2 linked regions of the Arabidopsis thaliana genome follow. The protein of the gene in region 1 interacts with the protein of each later gene in a pairwise test. Each region holds a gene or a part of one and is shown on either strand. Other genes may lie near its edges. The genes, in order: PSF2 and PSF1.

Region 1 (12,790 bases):
GGCAAAATAAATGGGAGCATCGATTCGAACAATCACAATCCCGTTGTAAGTGTATGCCTCTGGATACTGTTTCATGTTTCTGTACACAGTGGTCCCTGGAAGACGCCCCAAGACAGCTGCCAAAACATATGTAATGGTATGTGATCAAGGATATGAGTGAAAACCATTTCTGAGAAACAAAACAAGCAAATTGAACAGAAACTTATCTCACCTATATGAGGGTTTGCAGACTCGTGTATAACAAATGCAAGTGAAAAACCAACCTGAAAAATTCCAAGCATTACAACTCTGTGAGTCCTTTAAAAGCGTTGCACAATTCATGTAGGTGGTTATACTACTTTCAACATCATCACTCCTTTTAATTTCAAAGAGATATGATCAGCTACAGAAATAAAGCTGAGTGAGTATGAGCATACTCACACCAATGAGGACCCCAATCTCTATTCCAAAGAACAAAGTGGTGGTGCTAGTGATGGTCCAAAGAGTAAAATCTCTCTTGTCCACACGCCACAGAAAGATTGCCCCTTCATAGTCCACCTAATATGGTAAACATCCAGAAAGAATAAATGTGAATATATATTGCTCAATAACCAAAGACAATAAGTACACACCCCAGATTCTTTTCTGGTGGGTTTATTTGAACTTACCAAACCACTAACAGCAGAGATAACTATTGCTGCTAAAGCACACTGCGTAGTTGAGAAACAGACAGGAATTAGAAGCCAGATTTCAGTTTTAAAATTCTCCAGAGTTTCAGACTAAAAAATAAAAACAAGAGAGCACAGGACTGGAATTAGAAATACTCAACACAGACCTACCTGTGGTATAAATTTGAACATTGGGGTCAAGAACAGTAGAGAACATCCAATGATGATTCCTGTTACAAGGCCTGATAGACCAGTCTTGGCTTCACTTTCGCTATTCACAGCTGACCTAGAAAAGGATCCTATGACACATTTAGGGAATTAACAGATACATCAAATTCAGGCTACAACTTAGAAAATATTATCACCTTTTGTTTTGAATTTATCATAGAAAACACACATTACATGTTGTCTACTAATCTCAACAGTCAAGATTACGTACCTGTAGTTGGATATGCAGAGAATAGTGACCCAAATATATTTGCAACGCCAAGACCAAACAACTGCCAAGTCACGGGAAAAACAGACAGAACTCTCAATGACCATAAGATGTAGCCATTAAAAGAACAAGTTACAACATTTAATGGTAAGAATTGGGCTAGCCGCTTGCACTTGATTTTCTTTATTCTCTAGGGTTTATACCTCTGAATTTGAATCCAATTCGTATCTATTTTTCGCGGCTAGTGCTTTCGCAATACCTACAGATTCCTGGATAAGTCGAACTAGCATATCAGAAAACACAAAAACATGCGCATACTGCAGCTGAAACTAATCAAGAAACTCCACTTCTGCTTCTCAGGAAGTCAAATTACTCCATGTCTCAGCCATATCCATCCATTTACAGATTCTCATGATTAGGTTCAGCTGCAACTCACGTAAGTCCAGGAAAAAGTTAATGACAATGATGTCTCACCAAGATGGCAACACCAGTAATGAGAGCCGATGTTGGAAGCAGTAATTTGGCATGATCAAAACTTTTTGGGAAAGAAAACTTTGGAAGTCCCTGAGGTATATCTCCCACCTGAGAAATCCTAAAAACTTTGCAATCAATTACGGAAAACACTCACAAAAAATGTAGCTTCAATAGGGAAAAATATAAGAATTTCATTCTTTAGCAATCTGACCAGTGTGATGGAAGGTGGATGGAACACTTTTGCAATGATTGTACCAAGAGCAAGACCTGTGAGCGGTCCTGCTGCTCGTATGAACCGAAGTTCCTTCTTTGCTTTTCCCTGCCGCAGAAAATGATGCCTTAGCATAATAAAAGTAAGGGAACATAAGAAGTATCCTAATGACACACTGAAGAACAAGGCTCATACCACATGCTTCATTACTAAAAGGATCACCAGAATGGTACATCCCAACAAGAAAGGTGGCCACTTAAACTACAAAACAGAAATTCAGATGAAGTTATACAAGTAAGGCATAGAAGGTATGTTGAACCAAAAGGAATTGCAACACCATTAAGAATCTGAAGACCAGACCTGATCAGCTCCAGCTATTATGCTATCAATTACTGGCATAATCTTGCTGCTCCGAGAAACGCTATACCCTAGGAAGTATTTCAGTTGGGATAACCCAATTACAACAGCTGAAGCAGTTGTAAATCCAGAAATGACTGAGTGACTTATGAAACGAATAAGCCATCCAAGCCTGGGTTGAAAAAACAAACGAACAACTTGTTCTAACACTACAAAAAATACAGGATTCCTTGCACAAACAAAGAGAAGACTATAAATACCTCAAGAACCCCATAATGCTCTCAAATATTCCGACCATAAGAGCCAACAAAATGGCAAGCTCAGTGTATAATTCTTCAGATGGATCAACAATTCCACTCAAGGCATTAGAAACGAGAAGGGAAACTAATGCTACAGGTCCAACTGCAAGCTGACGGGATGAACCGAAGACGGCATACACGAATACCGGCACAAATGAGGAGTCTGCACCAAACAAGATTAATAACTACATGCAAAAGTGGGAATAGCTTAGTATCTCTCACACACATTGATGAATTCATAAAAGGGTATATTCATATTGAGCTCACATAGACCGTATATTGGTTGAAGCCCAGCTAACCTTGCATACGACATTGCCTGCTCAAATCCATCAAAACAGAAGTTTTTAGAAACTAAACTCACTTAAACAAGAAGAACAAACATACTCATTAGAGTTCCTGTGATTCACTTAAGCTTATCTCTAGATGGTATAAATTCAGGGAAGATAGAATCAACAATCAATCGGAAATGAAGAAACAGAAAATGACCTGGGGAACAAGCATGATACCGACGGTGATACCAGCCATAAGATCGAGCTTAAAGTACTGATGCCACCGGTAAGTCCGAATCCAAAGGAAGCAAGGAAATATTGCATCAATCCAGTCGAAGAACGTCATGCGCTTGATCTTCGCCGTCCATCGGGAGAAGAAATCATTAAAGGGAATGGAGTGACAGTGAGGATCAGAAGAGGTGGAATCGGGATACTGGAGAGGAATGATCTTGACCGGAATCGCCTTAGATGAAGAGGATGAAGCGGTGGAGAGATCCTTGACGGCGAGGGACATCGGAATTGGTGGGATAGAGAAGAATGTGATCAACGTGAAGAAAGACGTATCACTGATTGTAGCATGAAGAAACAGAGCATAGCGTAGTGCCAGTTTGGGATGGATAAGGACGATATGGCAGCTACATTCATAACTTTATCTTGATCATTAATCATATCATTGCGTGTCTTAATTAATCAGTATGTTTCGTTGATTACTGTTAAGTATAAGCCTTGACTTGAACAGTACCATCTCTAAATATCCTGTCATGATTCAGGTTCATCATTCTTTCAGTTTTAAAATTCAATCATTTTTCATACTTAGATTGTCACATTAAACTAGCTGGTTTATGAGTTCGTATGTTTCAACCTTTTGTGCTCTCCAGTAAATTGTGTATCACATAAAAAAAAAACACTGAGCTCATTTTGCAGAAGTGTTTGATCGATTTCAGCCCACATACTTGAAATGAAAACATATGGGATCCTTCGTGTGACCATTTCACCCATAAAACTCGTTTGCCATCTTAATATTTCTGTTCATTAAAGTGAACTTTTCGTCACAACATAAAAGATGCTAATATCAAAGGAGTATGTACCACAATGCAGGAGAAACAAGTCATATATTAACGATACCGATACATGCTGCTGGTGTTCTAACTTCTCAGGGAGTTCGACCAACGTTGGCACAGAAGATACCTGACTTCTACTCACTTAGGCAAGGGCGTGGAAGCTACCTAGCGTTGCCTTAGAGGTCTCTGCAAAACATGTGTTGAGGTTTGTATTTGTCTTAAAAAAAAAGGGGGAAAAATCGAGTGAGAAGTGTGAAGACTGAAGAGCCTTACCCTTGGTTCATTGTTGGTTTCACGCTGTTGTCTACTACTTCTGGTGTCTCTGTCTACATCAGCCTCTGGCTTGTCATGCTTATAAAATGCTTCTAAGGCTCTTATCACAAATGGGCGTACTATGTTTACTTCCATTGCCGATACATTAGAGATCTACATTCTCAAATTAGAGATATTGTTATTGTTAAAAATCACTCTTTAGAGGTAATGAGAAAAAGCTAATGTCAAGAAGTAGCAATAAAAAACAATTACCTTTACTGCAGATGTACCTTGAAATGATCCTAAGTTAGTCTCAAGTTTGTGAAGCCGTACATCTCTGATGTCCTCGACTAGGGATCTCACCTATACAAAATTCATAAACGGCTATAAAAGCTTAATTCGAACACATAGTTAGGATGGGAGACAAATTAAGATGTATGAAATTACCATATACATGTCTGGAATATCGTCACGTGCACTGCCAAAAGTGAGATCGATACTCATCAGCACTCTTGGATGTTATAAATGTAAGGGCGAGCAAAGAAACAAGAAGAGTCTAAGAACCTACTGGTCAAAAAGTAGTCTGGCAATCTCCACGTAACTAAATGGTAATGCCTGGAATGTCGACTGAGATTCACGTTCTGCTTCCAAGATCTGAGTCAAATTATCTAGTTCACAAACAAAGAAGCAACAAGAAACAGTTAACACTTAAGCACCTAATGTTCGTTAACATTTGAAATTTATCTGCTAAATTTGAAATTGTCTTACCAACAGACATCCACCCCGGAGGCCGGAAAGTGCATTTTCCTCTCCTCTTCAGTGCCACTGCAAGCCACAGAGGCACCTTTGTCGGAATCTGAGGAATGAACCGACCGAAATCGCCCTGTCATTGATTAACATATTAATCACATGGTTAACAAAATAGGTTACAAGGGAAATGATTACAGGATTGTATAAAACAAGAGAGATTACACTGATGAAATTGAGTTGCTCCATGTTCATATTAGGAACAATCTCGACCAGCTCGTCCTCTGCCATAAACTCAACCTGGTATGAATATAGCTAATCAATTAAACTATTGCAGACAGAACATGAAACGCATACAAGTAAAGAGGAGAATAAAGACCTCTTGTGGAGAAAACAGTGAAATATGAGGATCAGTCTGGCCAGCCATTGATGTATCTCAAGAAATCTCAGTTTCCAGACCTAAATGCAAGCGTGATAAAAATTATACTTGGTAGAGACATTTAATCAAACACTTTATCTACACTCTACAGAAAGTTCCTCCTTATTTTTTTAGCACATATCAACTTCCAATTTCAGCAACATCATGAAACAGCAAACCTTTAAAAGCATCTGATGATCAAATCTAACAATCAAATTTCGCAAATTCTGAGGACATACTTGTAAACGAAACGCCGGATATAGTAAGAGAGAATCATTTGTTCCTGATTAGTGATATGAAGTTGAGTTTACCTGGTTAGATTTTGTGTGATTCCTGGAAGATCAGATCGATCTCTTCCGATATTCTACACACGGACAGTAAATGAAGTTCCCCTACGCCCGAAACTCCCGAAGATTGAAATATCAGTAACCACTGTGATCGAAGAGAAGGAAATGGATGTAGCTTAGCAAACCCAGGAAAGAAAAAACGAAGATAAAGGAGGAGAAGAAGAAGAAGAAGAGCAAAATAGGGAGAGACACAGCAGAGAGTTTCGACTTTCCGATTGTGGCTCTCTACGATGGCGGGAAATCCGATGATAGTGTAGCGGGAAACTAAAATAACTCCAATAGGTTTCGGTTAGACCGGTATTTAATTCAACCGAACTCAAACCGAAACCGGAATTTTAAACGAAATCAATTTTATTCTAACTGATAGCACTTTGTTTATAAAGACTAGTCGAAAAAACAAACAAATCGAATCACACCACCACTAATTATATTTAGTCAACCAGAGATGGTAAAGCAATGTTGTGCTGTAGAATAAGGTAAGGTTTTAGTTTTATTAAAAAAAATCATCTCTAACCAGAATAAAACTCTTTTGTGTTCATGGCTTTCACGTCATGACGACTTTCTCCTAATCTTTTTTTAAAAAGACCCAAACCAATAGGTGAATCAACAACATAAGACTTGATTGCAGGCACGACTGTTATTTATCACCTAATCATATCTTCACAGCTACATTAGTTTGTTTTTGTAATATGGTTCACCAAATTTGATTCTAGTTTCTCTCGACTCTCCAAAGAACACGAAAATGAAACTGGAAGACTTACTTGTGGAAGACGAAACCAAAGATCAACCTGGCGCTAGCGTTGCGTCTCTTCTTGATCATCATCGTCGTCACCCCCAGCCTTCCCTTCAACAACAAGTAAGTCAAACTCGTATTTATAATCCTATCATATTAATTTGGAATCCCAACAATGACATATGGAAACCTAAGTTATATCATATTATCGGTTTTGTTGCAGCCATCAAAAGTGAATGAGCATAAGAGCGAAGAAGAGAAGAATGATTTGATCAAGAAGAAGCAAAAGCGAAGTCTTCAAAGAGAAGTGATGAAAATGCAAGGAGAGCTAGAGGACGAACAAGCCTTAAACAAGGCTCTACGTGATATGCATCGTGGTCCCGTCATGTCTCAGCCTCGTCTCTCTTTATTGCTTCTTCCTCCTCAGGTAAGTCACATTAGACTCACAGTTCCGAGATTGAAATGAAATAAAATGGAACTTATTGATTTTGAGTTTGTATAGGTTCAAGAGCTAATAGAGGAGCTTGCGACGGTTGAGGCAGAGATACTCTGTCTTGAGAAACGAATCCAAGACTTGAAACTTGATGTGTATAGTGAGAAAAAAGAGAACAAAGAACTTGAAGACAGTATTGATGAAGGAGAAGAAGAGAGGATGATGAACCCTAAGAGACTACTACAAAGGCAGAATCATCTTCCTTGCGACGCTGACAATGACCTTATAAAGATGAGATCTGAGGATCTAAAACAGAGATCAAAGTCCCAGAGTTATGGAGATCATCATGTTGTCAAGGATATTCAAATGAACAGTCCACGTACTCATGCGTCAATTGGATCAACCATGGAGTTCTCATCAAGAATCCATTCTTCGACTTTTTCTGATGGAATGTCAAGAACACAAGAGAAGAATAATGTGCAAGAGACGACACCAAATGGAGTATCGGAAGATCTGGTGAAGTGCTTGATGGGAATCTATCTGGAACTCAACAGGTCATCGCGTGAGCGAGAAGGGTCAAAAACTGTTTCAAAGCTGAGCCTCACACACCTCAAGAACGCTTCTTTCAAACGCAAATCGGTGTATGACCATAACGCATCTAATCTTGATCCATATGGAGCTGTCATGGGGACTTCTCTTAGAGACATAGGAGAATACAAGAACTTCATCCATATCACTCGAACCTCCATTGATGTTAGCCGTTTATCCGATTGCTCCACTTCTCTTGTCAATTTGAGGTACTTACAAATTCAGATTTCCTTCTTATTTACCTGATGAGATCACAAGAATTTCATGATCTCTGTATAATTAAACACACATGCAGGGTTTTGAAGGAGAAGTTGAGCAAAGTGGATTTGAGTTTCTTGAACCACAAGAAAAAGATGGCATTCTGGATCAATACCTACAACGCCTGCGTTATGAATGTAATTCCATGACTCAATTCATATTTAGTTGAAGCAAAGTCAAGATTTCGGAAATAACTTTGTTTGTTTGCAGGGATTTTTGGAACACGGACTACCTTCATCAAAGGAAAAACTGCTGACCATTCTCAAAATGGTAACTAATACAAAACAAGAAACATCTTTAAACTTCGCATACTTAAGTTAATGAACAAAATTGACTTGTGTTGTAGGCAACAATTGACGTGGGAGGTACACAACTGTCTGCTCTAGATATCGAAGGATCCATCTTGCAGAGTCCATGCGAACCTAGGGAATCTGTAAGTACTCATATATATCATCCTGTGAAGTTGTAATAACTGATCTTTAAAATGTTTCTTTTATCCGAATAAAAAGGTTTCAGCCGGTGAAAGCGAAGTGAGAATACAGACACGCTACGGATTCAGATGCGTAGAGCCAAACCTAATGTTCGTGCTTTGTCGTGGAGATTGGTCTTCACCTGCAGTAAGTTCACTCAATTTCTTCAAATATGATAAGTGTTGCTTCAACGGTAGTAACTAACAAAGCATCTTTGTTCATGATCACCTATATACATGATACAGTTGAGAGTTTATACAGCAGAAGATGTGGTGAACGAACTAATCAAAGCAAGAACAGAGTATCTAGAAGCTTCCATCGGTGTCTCGGGAAGGAAAAAGATTGTGATTCCGCGATTCTTGCATAAACGTCTACGGGATTTCGCTGAGGATGAAGGCTCGTTAATTGAATGGATATGCAGCCAATTACCACCAGCCCAACGTTGCTTTCAGCTCAAGGAAACAGCGATGGAGGGGTTGAACAAGAAAAGTGAATCTCAATTGAAAAAACTGATAGAAGTGAGGTCTCACGAATACGAGTTTCGTTATCTCTTGGCATTGTAAAATCTAATCCTTCAAATTTCTAGTATTTGGAGCCTTGAAAAGACGATTGTCCTATATATGTGTGTGTGTTTTAAGAGAATGAAGTTACACAGTGAATTTTGATTAATAATGGAAACAAACAAAATAGTAACTACAAAGTGTACAATACATTCATATTGTGATACATATAAAAGTGCTTCATTTAACTATATAAAACCTTGATTTAAATCTAGATTGGATTCAAATCAGTAGATTACAAATCCCGATCAAAATAATTAAGTATGCTATATTATTGTTGTAAATGTATAATCTGTAGATATTAACTAACACTTAGGATGAGGAACACGACAAGCAATTAGAAGTCTGGGCAAGAGCACAGGGTTCTTGATAAAATACTTGCAGGCACATGGTTGTGGCTTTACCATTCTTCCACAACAGTAACTCGGCAATTTGGTGCCTTTATCAATGGCAACTAAACAATTTGCAATCTCATGCATGCATCTGCCCATCATCTCATCACCATTAACTTTGATCGGAGCCGCCGACAAGAGTATGACGACGAAGGCAATGAGCATCAATGGAACAATCTTCATGTCTAATTATTTTAGTAACTAGTGAACAAAAAGATAAATAATTTTGCAGAAAATTAAACTGGTTCATGCCTTCTTTGTTTTGTTCTAGGTAAATTTTAAATAGGAATTGGAAGCACTGCTTGAACAATTGACTTTTTCAGAAGTCACCCATCATAAAAGCCTTTCCTAAACCGAACCGAATAATCACAATTTTTTATCTCCGGTTAACAAATTCTTTCTCGCGACGACTTCAACGCGCGACAATGGCGCGTGTAAGACAAACAGAGGTTTCTTGGAATATCTCTCCAAGTACTTTTGCTGCTTCTCTATCAAAATGGGAACAAACTTAGAAAAAACCAAAAGAAATCGAAATTACTTGGAAACAAAACATCTGACGATCTCCAGACTCAGCTGAAGTTTCGAGCTGAATCTCTTCTTCTCTACACGCGATTTCTCTGGTACAGTTCTTAAACGTCTGCTTTGCTTTGACATTCATCGTTTCTCTCCCAATTTGCTTCTTGGTTTTGGGGATGCGCGTTTTGATGCCGACTTTTTTCTTCAGTTTTGAAATTTCGTAAGACATTAGACCCCAATTATTCATAATTTTTTCAGAAATCAGACATGCATGTTTCATACAACATAGAGAGTGTGTTAAGTAGAGGAGTCAACATTTTTTCCGGATCTATCTAATCAAGCTGAATCATAGACTTACTATTCAGAATGTTTCATACTCACTTTGTCTTAGATCCAAGTATGTAAGGTTTCAAGTGTTTTTTGTTTCCTGTGGAGATAATGATGGCTAAATTCATTTACTTACAATGTAGTTAGATTATGCAGCTCGTAGATGTAAAACAATAACGCGAGGCGGTGATGAACAACAAATTGAGTGATTTTGAGAAAAATCTGTACAAAAAACTCAAGAGTGGAAAGCTCGAGGTGAAAGTCTCATACCGGACTTTCCTGTGTCCTTATTGTCCCGATAATAAGAAGAAGGTTGGTTTGTATGTTGACATTCTTCAGCATGCTTCTGGAGTTGGTAATAGCCAATCCAAGAAAAGAAGTTTGACTGAGAAGGCTAGTCACCGTGCTCTTGCCAAATACCTTATTAAAGATCTTGCTCATTACGCTACTTCTACTATATCTAAGCGCTTAAAAGCCAGAACATCATTCATTCCTGCTGAAACCGGCGATGCTCCTATAATTTATGATGATGCTCAGTTCGAGAAACTTGTGTGGCCTTGGAAAGGTAATGATGATGACGCATACTCCTATGTCATTACAAGTATCGTAGTATTAGCACTATTTGGATTTATAGCCTCTCTACTAACCGAAGTTGTATCTGTGGTGTGGCTGGGATAGGAGTTTTGGTTAATATTCCCACGACGAGTACAGAAGATGGTCGGTCTTGTACTGGAGAGAGTGGACCAAAACTTAAGGATGAATTAATCCGAAGAGGATTCAACCCAATTAGAGTTCGTACTGTGTGGGACCGTTTCGGTCATTCGGGAACCGGAATAGTGGAATTTAACAGAGACTGGAATGGACTTCAAGATGCTTTGGTGTTTAAGAAGGCTTATGAAGGAGATGGGCATGGGAAAAAGGATTGGCTTTGTGGTGCTACTGACTCGAGCCTTTATGCATGGCTTGCCAATGCTGATGATTACTACAGGGCTAACATTTTAGGAGAAAACTTGCGGAAGATGGGTGACCTCAAAAGTATTTATAGGTTTGCAGAAGAAGAGGCAAGGAAAGACCAAAAGCTTTTGCAGCGTCTGAACTTTATGGTTGAGAACAAACAATATCGGTTGAAGAAATTACAGATAAAATATTCACAGGATTCAGTTAAACTTAAGTATGAGACTGAAGAAAAAGAAAAGATTCTCCGTGCTTACAGTGAAGGTGAGATTTGTCCTTCTAGTTTCAAGATTCATATCCCCTTAGAAAAAGTATTGTTGCATCACCCAGCTATACATATTTCTGTAGATTGTGTTTATATCCGCGTTACATTTTCCGTTTTGCATCTGAAGATCTGACAGGAAGACAACAAAAATCGACTGATCATTTCAATAGGATCTTTGCTGATCATGAAAAGCAAAAGGTGCAGCTGGAGTCTCAGATAAAGGAACTTGAAATTAGAAAGTTGGAGTTGGCAAAACGTGAGGCAGAGAATGAAACGCAGAGGAAAATAGTGGCAAAAGAACTTGAACAGGTATATGCTAACAAGCTCATTTCTTAAACTGATTTCTGGATTGCCTCTTTCGTCTTCTAAAATTCAATGACATTATTTTCAGAATGCTGCTATAAATAGTTATGTTCAACTATCTGCCTTGGAACAACAAAAGACCAGAGAGAAAGCGCAAAGATTGGCTGTAGATCACAAGGTCTGGGAATGCTTCCTTCTTTAAAAAGGTTGGCTCTTTAACTTTATGTGACAGGGTCCTACCGTGTTTTTAACCTTAGATGCAAAAGGAAAAGCTTCATAAGAGAATTGCTGCACTAGAAAGGCAGCTTGATCAGAAGCAGGAGCTTGAACTGGAGGTCCAGCAACTGAAAAGTCAGCTGAGCGTGATGAGACTCGTGGAATTGGACAGTGGTTCTGAAATTGTGAACAAGGTGGAGACCTTCCTCAGAGACCTTAGTGAGACAGAAGGAGAGCTTGCACACTTAAATCAATTCAATCAAGATCTTGTTGTTCAAGAGCGGAAGAGCAATGATGAACTTCAAGAAGCTCGAAGAGCATTGATAAGCGTACGTATATTCAAACAATTTTCTTTGAACTTTCGTCTCATAGAGGAGCTAGGTGACTCTTTGCATGTACTGAGTGATAAACTCGAATATAACTGACATGGTAGGCTAGAGTGGTTGGATGCATTAACAACAGAAAAGACACTACTTGAATTTTCCTCTAATTTTTTTCTTAACTTTGATTGCATGTATAGAATTTGAGAGACATGGGATTGCATATTGGTGTTAAGAGAATGGGGGAGCTTGACACCAAACCGTTTATGAAAGCAATGAGAATAAAGTACTGTCAAGAAGATCTAGAGGATTGGGCAGTTGAAGTTATCCAGCTTTGGGAGGAATATCTTAAGGACCCAGATTGGCATCCTTTTAAACGGATAAAGCTTGAGACTGCAGAAACAATAGTGGTATTCCTTCTCCTGTATATCACTAATTCAATGTTTTTTATTTCTCATCCTAAATAATATGTTTCGTAAGTGTTACTAGCAGAAGACCTCCATTCAAGTGCATGCGTACAACTACCAGCTGCATATGCAGATTTGTTTATGCATGTTATGGTGTTTGATATGTAGAACCCTGAAGCTGTTGATATCTATGTCAGGAAGTAATTGATGAGGATGACGAGAAGTTAAGAACCCTGAAGAATGAACTGGGGGATGATGCGTACCAAGCAGTGGCAAATGCATTGCTGGAGATAAACGAGTATAATCCGAGTGGAAGGTACATCTCCTCAGAGCTATGGAACTTCAGAGAAGACAGGAAGGCTACGCTTGAGGAAGGTGTTAATTCTCTACTGGAGCAATGGAATCAAGCGAAGCATCTCAAGTCATAAAGGTTTATATTTGCATTTACCCGGTACACTCAAAAATCCCAGCTCTTTGGAAGTTTGCCTCTTTGCTTACATAGTTGTATTTTCGAATTTTGCTAATCTGAG
Region 2 (12,218 bases), on another chromosome or scaffold:
TGAAGAAACCAAAAGGATCTTCGTCTGACGATGCAAAAGCTCTTGAGCACCTGGAAAAATGAGTTATGTTGTAAGCTTCATCTAGCCAAATTAAAAGCACTAAACATATAACAAAGGATATCAACGTTGATAGCTTTTTCTTGATATAGCACGAATGTAAACAACAGAGAATAGAACAGAGACAACATTACCAGCAATGAATATTTTTATTATTATGTCGAATAAATACATTTTCCCACAAGTGACAGAGCAAACAAAATTCACATATTTTTGTCTATTACACTTTGGTGTCAGACTGACTTGTTACGTAGATTTATGGCGGTGGATTATAACATTGTAACTTTAAATATCTTTTAACGTAAGAAACAAAACTCCAAAATTGGTGTTTATTTTTAAAAATAAAAATTTGAGGGGGCATGTATGTTTGTTTAGTTGATTCACGTGTTCTTTGTGTCTGAAAATTCTGAATTTGATGATTTTGAAAAAGGAAAAAAAGATACGAGGTATCCTCAATTCCAAAAGGATGAATGATACAACTCATATATACAAGATTATAGTAAAAAGAAGGGATGCATATAAAGAAACATAGACATCATCGCCATCCATCCTCAGATCAGTTCCGTAGTTTACTGGATCACGACACACACACATATACACGTGTACATATAAGCCATTCTTATCAAAATGACCACCTTCCTCCTGAATTCTCATTCATTATATAGGCGTATATTTCGGAATTCTAAGTTTTGTTGCTACGATCGAGCCAGCGTTCTGTTTCTGTACGTCTCTCTGGGTAAGAAAGAAAAAATGAAGGACGAAACGGGAAACCCTCTGCATATCAAGTCTTTGAATCACATCTCTCTTCTCTGTCGATCCGTCGAGGAATCCATTAGCTTTTACCAAAACGTTTTAGGGTTCCTCCCTATTCGCAGACCTGACTCTTTTGATTTCGATGGCGCGTGGTACATATATACATACTTACCTACATGGAGATATTATATATATATTTCTCTTTAAGAATTGTTAAATTTCGTAATTATATACTTATTTTGTGTGATTATAGGTTGTTTGGACATGGAATTGGGATTCATCTTCTTCAATCTCCTGAACCTGAGAAATTACTCAAGAAAACAGAGATTAATCCCAAGGATAATCACATTTCTTTCCAGGTACCCTTTTTTTTTTTACTTTATCATTTTGACCCCACACCTTTTTAAATGCCTCCTCGCTAACCCCTTTGTTTAAATTGGAGCTCAATAAACTCCTTTTAATTGTGATTTGTGAGACCAAATGATGGAAGTTTTAGCTTTTCAGAGGGTATTAGGCAGCCAAATGTGTTGTTTATTAGTAGTACAGAAATATATTTGATAGAAGAATGTGTGTGTTGAATGCAGTGCGAAAGCATGGAAGCAGTGGAGAAGAAGCTCAAGGAGATGGAGATAGAGTATGTGAGAGCAGTGGTTGAAGAAGGTGGCATCCAAGTGGACCAACTCTTCTTCCACGACCCTGATGCCTTCATGATCGAGATATGCAACTGCGATAGCCTCCCCGTTATCCCTCTCGCTGGAGAAATGGCTCGTTCATGCTCTCGACTTAATATCCGCCAGCTCGTTCAGCCAACTCAGATCCACCCCTAGTTCTCTCTGTCTTCCCTAATTTCTGTTTTCGTAAATAATTTCAAGTGTCCATGTGATTGTCTCTTTGATTGCGTGTGAATATAATTGCATGTAATAAACAGCTAGTGGTAAGTTGATGTGATTCCTCAACCGGGAAAATGACCATTTGCTTCACACTCTAGTCTCTCTCTACCATTATTTGAGATACCAAACTCTCTCTCTCTTTTGTTGTTATGCTTCTAAAACATGTGGTTATATGATAGTAAGAAACCTTATAATACAATTGAAATCGCCTAAGAAGCTTAGAGAGATAAGTAACATATGTTATCTGAAACACGTGACATGAGACATCTATTTTTTCTGTAAGTGGAATATATCAGAGAGCTCCTCTAGGGAGGATGTTATCGCACTGAAGAGAAAGTTGTCGCCGGAAGTTTTGGATGAAAGCTTCGGCGCATTTGTCGACATCATGAATCTTAGGCTTGCTCTCTAGATGACGACTACCATTTGTAAGGGTTGTCACCGATTTTCTCTTCTCTGTTATGACTTTGGAGTTGGTACTGTGCACAGAAAGTGGTTGTAAGGAACTCATTTTCCTGATCTTTTTATGTGTGTTTTGGGATAGTTGGATGGTGGTGAGAGTTCTGATTTTAAGGGCTGTGTATTTATAGGATTGTTTGTATGCCTAAGTCTTTTTTATCCCTACGGAAGCAACTCTTGAATTATTGAAAGGAATAGATAACTAACTAATAAGAATGTTGAATTTAAACGTTTAGATAAAATATCGCTTATATTATTAGTAAACCATATCCTTTCAACACTTATCCACTTAAATCTAAACCCAGTAAGTATCAGCATTTAATTAAACCAAATATCTTGCAACTTCTGCTTTTGTGATATTCTCTAGATCATATTTATATATACGTTTCTATTTAAATAAGGAAACGAAGCATCAAATCTAAAGGTTCTCTTTGCAAAAGGGAAGGCTTACATGAAATCTAACCTAACAAGTGGAATTGATTACTCTTAGTCATAAGGCTACAAGTAGAACCTAACGACTAGAAGATAAGCCACCGAATCCGAAACTCATCATCGTCCACCGCCGTCGTTTTCCTAGCTCCGATGACTTATTTATTCTCTTAAATAACAGATATACACAGAATGGGCCGTTTTTCATATTCATCTTTGTTTCGATATATTTATGAATGGGCTATTTTGACCCAATAATTAGCCCTTTAACGTTCAAAAGGCCCATACATATTCCGAGATTATTCGTTTTAGTATGTGGCTATTACAGATGTACCCCTTCTATTTTTTGTTTATAAATCATTGCACGTGTTTTGAATATTTTTCGTAATTACATGTGTTCCCCTATATTTTGGCTCATTACATAAATTTCTCATAGTTTTGATTATGCATTAATACTAAGATTGTTTCAGCTATTTTCTCTAAGTTTTTTTGGTTACTGATCCAAAGGTTTGACTTGATTTTTCTCAAAACGAGTTTTCTCTTGTCATAAATTATATAATCTTCCCAACAACCGTGAGAGAGCTCTACATCCATCGTATGGCTCAAAAGGTAATCTTGTGAGCTGGAAATGATTGAGTGCAATAAGAGAGAAACTCAATGATAAGGGATGGACTGGTGAACTGAATTTGCCAAAACATGACTATATCATAAAAGCATTTGGCGTGTGCACAAAAACGTGGCAAGATTTTCAATCTGAAAACATGAATTCAAAGGTATGCAGATGTGATCCCGGACTGAACCGACTGTTCTAAGAAGCTTGTGTCATCTGAAAGACAAGGAGGAGGGTACACTTGACCCGAACTAGAACCATAAGCTTCCCAACAGAAAGACTCTGTGAAACCATCACCGTTTGATGGTTCAAGATCAATGTCTTGTAGAAGTATGTTGCGACATGGTGAACTATCGCTGCAAGAGATCTTGATTGCTTCCTTTGATGCTGAGGTGCCCCTCACGTGAACAAATGAGATGTTCTCAATGCTAATAGCTGATGTCTGCAGTTTTTGAGTTTTAGACAATTTTTCAGGTTCAATATTGAGCTACAAAAGAAAGATTTGGCACAAGTTCTTTACCTGATTCGCACACGGCTTCCTAGAATCGCAGTAATACTGATCGATGATGATGGGGTTTGACACATTGTTCATCTTGATGTTCCTAAAGATAATTTTTGAGACCAAACCACTCCCTCCCTGGTTGAAAGAAAGAGGATGCAAGCAAGTTAAGTTCTTTTCATCTCAGAACGTAAATGGGAACTTTGATAAGATGGAATCACCTGCCATGTTTTGATCCGAACACCATTCGCAGTGTCAGAGATGATGGCCGTATCAACTGTTATGTCTCTAACTTCTTCCCAAGATTTTGATTTTCCTAGGCTTCCAATGCTACAACAACAATTTTATATTAGATTATGCTTAGTCTGTTTCTTATCTGTCTTGGCTTTGGTTACCTTATGCCATGGCCAGGACCACATATAATGTTGCTGATGGAGATCTGTGTAGAGTTTTTAACTATCGAAATGCAGTCATCTCCTATACAAGAAAAACAGATCCGATTAATCAGCAAAGAGCAAATATTAGATTCAAGTTCTGGTTAAGTACACTGACCTGTGCTGACAGTAGTGTTGTCTATAACGATACCACGAGAGACGCTTATGTGAATTCCATCAGTATTGGGACTAGTAGCAGGAGCTATGACCTTTAAACCAGAGATGGTCACACGGCGACAGCTGGTTAAGGCAATGTGCATTTGTTGACTATCAATCACATTGAGGTTCTCAACTCTCATATTCTTGCACTTGTGGAATGTTAAGGCCTACAAAACCAACATAGTCTTACTTTAATAGAGAGTAACCACACCACCAATAAAGGAAATCAATTGGATGCTTACCGTTGGAGCACCTCGACAAGGCTGCAAAAGAAATGGTTGAAAGAAAAGTGAGAATTCCCTTTTACTCTCTGAAGATAACATGTTGAGAAAGAAAAAAGAGGCAACTAACGTTGGAATGATTGTGTTTGCAAGATCTTTCCCACCATTCTTGCCCCATCCCGTTAACAGTGCCGCCTCCTTCAACAGTTAAGCGGCTCAAACCATGGAAATATAGCCATTTTCGGCGGTTAAGACCTTCCCAAACATCTGGATCATTGGGAGCAATGATTGTACCAGAGATCTAATGGCCAAAAAAGAGAGCAGAAAGCAATGAAGACAACAGAACAAAGACAACAATCTGAAAATATCCACAAAGATTCTAAATACCCCTGTGGAAGGGAAGGTTTAACCTGGAGTGTGAGTCTTGCTTTACAAGGTCCAGAAAGATCAATAGGCCGAAGGAGACAAGTGTAATTTTCAGGCACCAAGATTCTGGTTTTGACTTTGGAAGAACAAGCTGTCTTCCAAGCATCTGCAAACGCCTGCGTTCCATTATCACCCGACACAAATTATATAAGTATCTACCGTTGCTGTCTGATTTCCTAAATCCTACCCATAGATTCAAGATTTCACAGTGAAAAGAGGTTTCTCGAGGGTTTAGCGAATCGTTACTTTAGTGTCGTCGGTGACGCCATTGCCTTTGGCACCAAAATTGCCAACGTGGAGGAGCCGTTCGGATCTGGGTCGGGTCGAGCGCGACTGTCTCCGCGGGAGCTGGAGGAGCGATTCGAACGAATTCGCGTTTGCGGTCAAAGCGAGTGAGGAGGCTACGACTAGTAGTAACAAAAGAGTGACAAGAGTACCGCCGCGTGAATAACTCATAATTTAGATTTTTAATTTTTAGGAACCGAATGGATTTATAGACATTAAACTCAAGATACTATAATTAGGCTTATGTATGATTTTAGAATAAACAAATGAATATAGATAGAGTCTATTTATAATCAGAATTACAACAGATCTAGATTCCCTCCTCTCTACCTTGAGAGTGAGATTTAGTTTTCCTGATTGTAGTGATTATGGTGAAATGACGTTATGTTTAGCCACAAAGAAAAATGGCAAGATAGTTTCTAGTTTTCAGGGGATTTAGTAATGACATTCTTTGAAAATTTTCCATACATTATTGATTGATTAATGTAGGTGATCAATCATATAATCAAACAGAAAATTGCAAGATGAAATAAATGTATGTGTTTTGACCCAAAAAAAAAAAAAAAAAAGAAATAAATGTATGTGATAAACCCTTTTATCACTAATTTAGAAATAAAAAAAAAGTTTGATGGTTATGGGCTAAAGCCCAGATAATCAGGGTATTATATGTTGCACTAAACTAAGCCCATATGATTACGCCCAATAAAACTTTTACAATGGATGGACTATGTAAACCTTCCAACTTTCAAGAAACATTCTCATACTGGTATATGATCACTATATCTATATCTCACACCTCACGCAAACTAGTAGTTATTTACGTATCAAACAAATAAATTAAGTGTTTATTATTGGTTGCAAAATATGTGTATAGTTTTATTTTTCACTTTTTTTTTTGCAAAGGCTCCAACTTTTTGGAAAAAAAAATAGCAGTGGATGGGTGGGAACTGTGGTGCCATGCTTGATTTGGACATAACACAGAAGCGAGTCCGTGAGGGATTTGTATCGGCTGATGAAAAATTAAAATATATTTAATCAGAAATTAGAGATGAGAAAATGGCATTGGTCCTTTATCCTAGGAATGAAGAATCTGATGTTGTTGCAACTAATTTGTCAGAATGTCAGGCTCAGGTCCACTTTAGCCGCCGCAGTCAGCTGCCCAGTTTTGAATTCATTAAGATTATCAAATTTAATTACTCGATGGATTAATCATAGGAGACGAAGAAGATTGTTGATCCTCTGCTTTAATCTTACTTGGAAATATTTGGAATTCTCTCGGGAAAGAAAGAGAGATAGAATAAAACAAGAATATACATGAAAATCTAAGATCAGTCTGCAACAAAAACAAAACAAATATAAACATATATATAGTCTCTGAGTTTAAACAGTTTTAACATTAAAGCACAAACAAAAAAACACAAACAAAAACAGAAAGAAAAAGATTCATAAGAAGCAGTATAAGTATATATACTCTCTTTTTGTTTTGTTTTGTTTTCTCATCTTTGTGTGTGTTCTTCTTCTTTACTTTAGACTTTAGTTCATGCCTATCTGGATCTACGCTTCGCTGGCCTTTTCCTCTGATTAACCTTCTTCCCCGGCTGTTTCTTCCCGAAGGCAGAGCAGCACCCAAACGCCGACAGTCTCGGCGACGGCGGGTCCACCGCCGGAGACACTCTCCCTGTGTTTCGATGGTGGCGGATGGCTCCTCCTCCGTTGGATCGACTCCTCTCCATACCTCCGTCAGTTCTGATAGGTTTGAGTCCTTCTCCGGCGATAGGTTTGGTTGTCTGATCCTGTACTTCCGACGTAATCAGCTTGGCCTGTTCGTCCTGTTGTAGAGTCTCGCCTTTCCGGTCGTTGGCCGCTTGTTGGCTTAGCTCGGCGATGAGACGATCGTCCCAGACTATACCCGAAGAGCCCTGTCGACGGAAAGAGATGGTGGATCTCTGAAGACCCGCCATGGACGGCGCTAACTGTTCCTCCTCCGTTTTTTTCTTCTTCTTTTACTCTGTTTTCGTCGTTTTTGATGTGTGTTGCTAAAAGTGGTTCATCATTGTGTTTCAGACTAGTTCATTTCTTCCTCCTCTTTCTTATCTCTTTATTAGAAGGCACTTGTGTCTTTTCTAATTAATTTTCTTTTGTCGTCTTATTATTTCAATTTTATATGTTTTTTTTCTTCTGGTTCTCGAATTATCCAACCAAATATAATCGCGATTATCATGTTTAGATGCGTAATCATTGTATTTTATTTGTTACGTATTTTAAACGGGAGAGAAAAAACTGGGTCAAAGCAGCGGGTAATTATGGGAGTAGAATAGTACAAACAACGTTTTTGGGTGGTATGTGTTGAAATTTCAATTATCTTTTTTTTTAACATTAAATTTAGCTATAGCCACTTAATTATCTGCCAAAAATGATTATTTTTCTTTTCACGTTTCAGGCAAAGATCATCGCATAGCATATAGTTTTATCAACCATAATCCAGCATGGCTTAATTTTTTTTAATATTTCTTAAGGAAATCAAGCGTTGGTGACTCGTCGTTGTTCATGCTTGATTTGGTTAGTTCAAAGTTGAAACTTACAAGTATTAGTAGATGACTGATTCATCGAGTTTTAAAATAATAATCACGCAAAACTCGAACCTAATATTTCCTGAAATATAATGGCTCAACTTTGAGAGGTGTGGATTATTTTATTTTGTAAGATATCTTGCTATATGGCTTGCTGGACCATCCCATTTGTGTAATGTGGAGACAATCCATTCATGTGCTACTTTTTTCATATGGACAACAAAATTTGCGTGTTCATATCGTAATTAATCCCCAATTAAATCTACATCGCAAATCTAATATACCCATGCATTTCAAATCTCGCTACAATTATGGAAGTCCTTGAGTTGATTATTGAAGCAGCTAAAACGTAAGCATGCGAAGAAAACGGCATTTAGCTTTAAAAATTTGATGATTGTCAGAAAGAGAAAGCAAATAATTGGAAAAATAAGAGCGTCTTATCCGTAAGTGTAGATTTGATGGAACACCAAATATTTTCTATCAATTTTTTTTGGTGATGGTTATTTTGGCAAAACCAACATGATCAACGGGTTTTTTTTTTGTTAATTGTTAGCCATCTAAAGATATAGTGCATATAAACAAAACAAAATAATAAGAATAAAAGAAAGTGACACAATGTCAATCGCATCAGTACCAGTCAAATGGATCATCCTTATCCTCAGACCCAAAAGATTTACTTACATTAGGGAGTAGTATTCGGATACATGTACACGCATATAACTTCCAAATGTTGAAAGATGTATAAAAACATGTTAGACATTTACCAGTGACTTAAAAAAATATAAGTGATTTATGGTAGTATATATCACACTATATTATGAGTCATGACACTCAAATTCAAAATCCGTTTAGTACAAAAGGTTACAAGTCTAGAATCGATTTTTGTAATTTTTTTAGTATATATGACATTGGTTTGACTGTGTTACAAAGTCAAAGTAAAATCCCAAAAAAAGAAAGAGGAATATTTTGGTTCTGAGAAAAGACATAAAAAAAACAATAGAGAAACCTTGTAAAATCCCGCCAAAATTTTCACAGAACCCCTAAAAAAGTTTGAGTGTTGCCGCCATCCATAGATTTATTCCACCATCTTCATCTCTGGAAATCCTTCGCCGCCGCGAGAATTGACATTGTTTTGATTGCATATAAATCTCCGCAACAGTATGGTACGTTTTGTTTAGATCTACGGTTTTGTTATCATCCGTTAATTCGGCGACATCAGCAACGATTTGCTTCATCCACAAACCGAATAGGTTCGGTTTAAACATAAGCCTGGGATTTGAGTCAATTATTTGCATTTGCCTACTTTTTTCAATTTTCTGGGCACGCCAGATGTTTGATGAATTGCTCGAATAGATAGATGTCAAAGTGAAGCGAGGAGACCCGCCGATTCGACATGTACGGGAGAAAAGGGTATCAGCTTATCAAAGATTTTGCCACCGGAGAGAAGGGTCAGCTCAAACCTTTCAACGTAAGACTTCAAGCTCCCACCTTTATGACACTAAATCTCTCAATTTATACAGGCTATTGAAATTTTTGAGTATCTGTAATCTAACGTATATCAATCTTGCAAGTTTGGCCAGTAGGTTTTGATTATAGGTGACGGAATGTTAGCAAATTTCCAGTCCTGGGTTGATAATATCCAATTCTGTAATTAGAAAGTATTATCTTGGTTAGCTATGAGGTAGATTAGTTCTTTAACCTCTTGTATTTCTAACAGAGCAAACTCTTTGATGAAACAATCGAAGAGTGTGACCAGAATCACCATCTTATCCAGTCCTTGATAAGGTATTGATCCCCTTTTTTACACTGTTGCATTTTTTCAATCCATCACAAAAGACTTACTTCTGATTCATTGAGGTTGATGTTTCCATTTACAGGAAAATGCAACAAGAAGGTTTGGATGTTCAGAACAACAGAAACGCTGACCACTATGGAGCACTAATTCACCACCTTGCTTTGATCCGGAACAAGCGCTGCCTCATGGCTTATGTGTGAGAACCACGTTTCCTATCAGTAACACTATATCTGGACACTCAATTTCTTAAAAATAGCTGCAATTGGTGTCGCTATGCAGGTACAACCGAGCAGAAATTGTGCGTGATTTGGCATGGAGAGTAGGGCTTGAACTTCTCGACCTTCCCTCTGAAATCCAAGAGAAGCTCACTACACTAGAGAAGGAATACTTCAAAAACCATTCGGTTGCTCTAAAATCATACATGGGAAAAGTAGGAATCGAGTTGAATGTCGTAAGTCCTCTTTCCACCACCCTGGCTTTTATTAATTAATTGGATTTTTCTTGTTTGGTGGACTTGTAACTAGTAATCTCCTCTTGATCCATTTCTTGAAGGATATGGTCCCTCCTAAAGATCCTTATATCAAGGTCAGAATTTTGGATGATATTGATGAAGGAATCGTGCTGAGTGACAAAACAACAAATTTTGCCCGTCATTCTATGCATTTCCTCAAACGTACTGATGCGGAACCATACATTGCTCGGGTCAGTCTTTTTCGTTATTCCTTCCCTAAAACTAGAATGATCTAAAGCCCATAAACTTCCACGAACTGAGAAATTCAAAGAATGAGCCTTGCTCAAATTCGCAGAGATGTAGATAGAACCTTGATTACAGCCTTCCCTAGCAGGTTTAATAGGAAAAAAGAAGACTGCTTAAGATAGATTATAACTGAAAAAACGAAACTATAGAATTCCTGAAAGATCTGAATAGTGATGCAAATAGAAGTTTTAGGTTTAGAATATGCGTGAAGTGTAATCTGAAGAATTGACTTTTGTCACATTTCTTGGTACCGTCAAGATTACATAAGGTCGAAACATTTCATAAACTGTGAGTGTATTGGATTCTTTGGTTTTCCATGTGATGTTTGTCATAGTATGCCAAAGGAGTTGCTAAGCAAATGCAGTCTGATTCTACTGCCTAGCTTAAAAGGGGTCTCGTGTCCCATCATTTGGATAAAGAGTTTCTAATTGTTGAGATGTGAATGGGATAACAGGGCCAAATGGAGGAGCTGACAGGATGATTGATCTAATCAGAAGCTGTGGTGGGCTCAGATGAATCACGGTCGGGTCTGTGATCAAAGAATGTAAGCTTACTTAGCCTTGTATAATTGTAAGACAGGAACATGAAACCAGAAACCTCATACTCAAACTCATGTAACAATTATTTATCTTACAAAGTTACTTCTGTAGTGCATAACATTCACTAGCAATAATGCAGTTTTGACAAGCTCAAAATTACCTTTTTTCCAATGGACAATCTTTCAAGGCTTCAATACTCAGTCTTTTTGTTACTTGCTGGCTTTTCACTATAGAAGTGAACCTGCAGCTAAAAAGATAAGAATCTGCCACAAATGCTGCAGAAAAATGAGAATATGTCATCTACAAAACATACCTCAAGATTAGCTTGTAAGATCTGAATAGTGATGAGGCATTTACTCGAACGATGATCATTGTCACATCTCTGATTAATGTAAACGATAAACGGATTTTTGATGTTTCCATATAGTTTGATATTGTCTCTTTCCTTAGGCGTTTTCAAAACCATAAACATAGGTGAATGTTATTTACAATGTCTCTATAGTTATGATTAATTTGAGTTGCTACTCATCTTGTTTCTGAAAGGAGGAATTCTTGCATCTTTTGAGGATTAGTTTTTTGACTTGCATACAGAAAATGTGTTCTTAGTCTCTTGCCTTCTTAGTTGTTACCACCACTGCTTCGTCAATATTTTATTATTGGATTCACAACAAAAAAATTCCTCTTTATTTTTTATGAGAAAAGGGGAAAAAACACTTAAAACCTTTTGTGTTGACCAGAAAAAAAAAGAGGGATAAAACGTGGGGGTATTAATGGGAATGGGGATGTTCCACATATTTCTGAAATTTTTTTCCCTCTGCTACGAAACCTTTGAAATTTGTGTCATCGAAATCGAAACCAAAATGGATCTTTCGAAGAAGAAATGGGCTTCGATTATCTCCGTCATCGCTTCTTCTCTGTTTTCGCTCCTCATCGTCTTCCAGATTCCTCTGTTCAGGTATCATCATTTCCAAACCATTCATCGCAATTTTGTCATCTGATGAACGCAGAAACCAATGCACTAACTAGTTGAAATTGATGGCAAAATTCACCAAATTAGGGTTACTCTGTTCAACAATGCAGGGGCGTTATTGGATTTAGATGATCGTAAAAAGACAGATAGCATTCTATTAGGGATTGAAGAAATGTATGTCTTAGACCATTCCTTGTTAGAGAACAATCTATATTTGAATTGAGTGCGCTTTGTTTGTTTATATGTTGCAGAGTGGCGTGCAGGAACAAGAGTTGTGAAACTCCATTAGAGGTCATATCCTCTGAGTTGATTGCTACTGATTTGATTCCTTCTTCTCTTGTCAAGACCCTCCTTTATCCTGGTGCCAT

The links.
Region 2: the proteins of PSF2 (region 1) and PSF1 interact in a two-hybrid assay, tested with the Arabidopsis thaliana proteins (one large-scale study listed by BioGRID).

Annotation. Positions count from the first base shown.
Region 1 is NC_003074.8:3,968,685-3,981,474, forward strand, and holds PSF2 (PSF2), read right to left. Parts: upstream 5,757-12,790; 5' UTR 5,483-5,756; intron 5,213-5,482; 5' UTR 5,181-5,212; coding exon 5,133-5,180; intron 5,054-5,132; coding exon 4,979-5,053; intron 4,890-4,978; coding exon 4,775-4,889; intron 4,675-4,774; coding exon 4,575-4,674; intron 4,485-4,574; coding exon 4,454-4,484; intron 4,370-4,453; coding exon 4,280-4,369; intron 4,181-4,279; coding exon 4,028-4,180; intron 3,941-4,027; coding exon 3,920-3,940; 3' UTR 3,496-3,919; downstream 1-3,495. Other genes in the region: SULTR4;2 (sulfate transporter 4;2), read right to left, coding at 1-116, 212-263, 421-537, 648-689, 819-946, 1,087-1,147, 1,287-1,352, 1,558-1,665 and 6 more; AT3G12540 (ternary complex factor MIP1 leucine-zipper protein (Protein of unknown function, DUF547)), read left to right, coding at 6,261-6,374, 6,475-6,678, 6,754-7,481, 7,568-7,667, 7,741-7,800, 7,877-7,963, 8,040-8,147, 8,246-8,563; AT3G12545 (Bifunctional inhibitor/lipid-transfer protein/seed storage 2S albumin superfamily protein), read right to left, coding at 8,866-9,137, 9,511-9,748; FDM3 (XH/XS domain-containing protein), read left to right, coding at 9,985-10,360, 10,474-11,013, 11,142-11,323, 11,406-11,495, 11,575-11,862, 12,054-12,263, 12,458-12,688.
Region 2 is NC_003070.9:30,150,294-30,162,511, forward strand, and holds PSF1 (partner of SLD five 1), read left to right. Parts: upstream 1-8,747; 5' UTR 8,748-9,182; coding exon 9,183-9,257; exon of another isoform or gene 9,258-9,506; coding exon 9,507-9,574; intron 9,575-9,666; coding exon 9,667-9,780; intron 9,781-9,863; coding exon 9,864-10,035; intron 10,036-10,136; coding exon 10,137-10,331; 3' UTR 10,332-10,770; downstream 10,771-12,218. Other genes in the region: GLYI7 (Lactoylglutathione lyase / glyoxalase I family protein), read left to right, coding at 685-962, 1,064-1,169, 1,395-1,637; AT1G80165 (cotton fiber protein), read right to left, coding at 1,993-2,208; AT1G80170 (Pectin lyase-like superfamily protein), read right to left, coding at 3,353-3,637, 3,716-3,832, 3,916-4,024, 4,090-4,171, 4,247-4,454, 4,530-4,550, 4,639-4,809, 4,919-5,050 and 1 more; AT1G80180 (uncharacterized protein), read right to left, coding at 6,764-7,180; AT1G80200 (uncharacterized protein), read left to right, coding at 11,651-11,835, 12,102-12,218.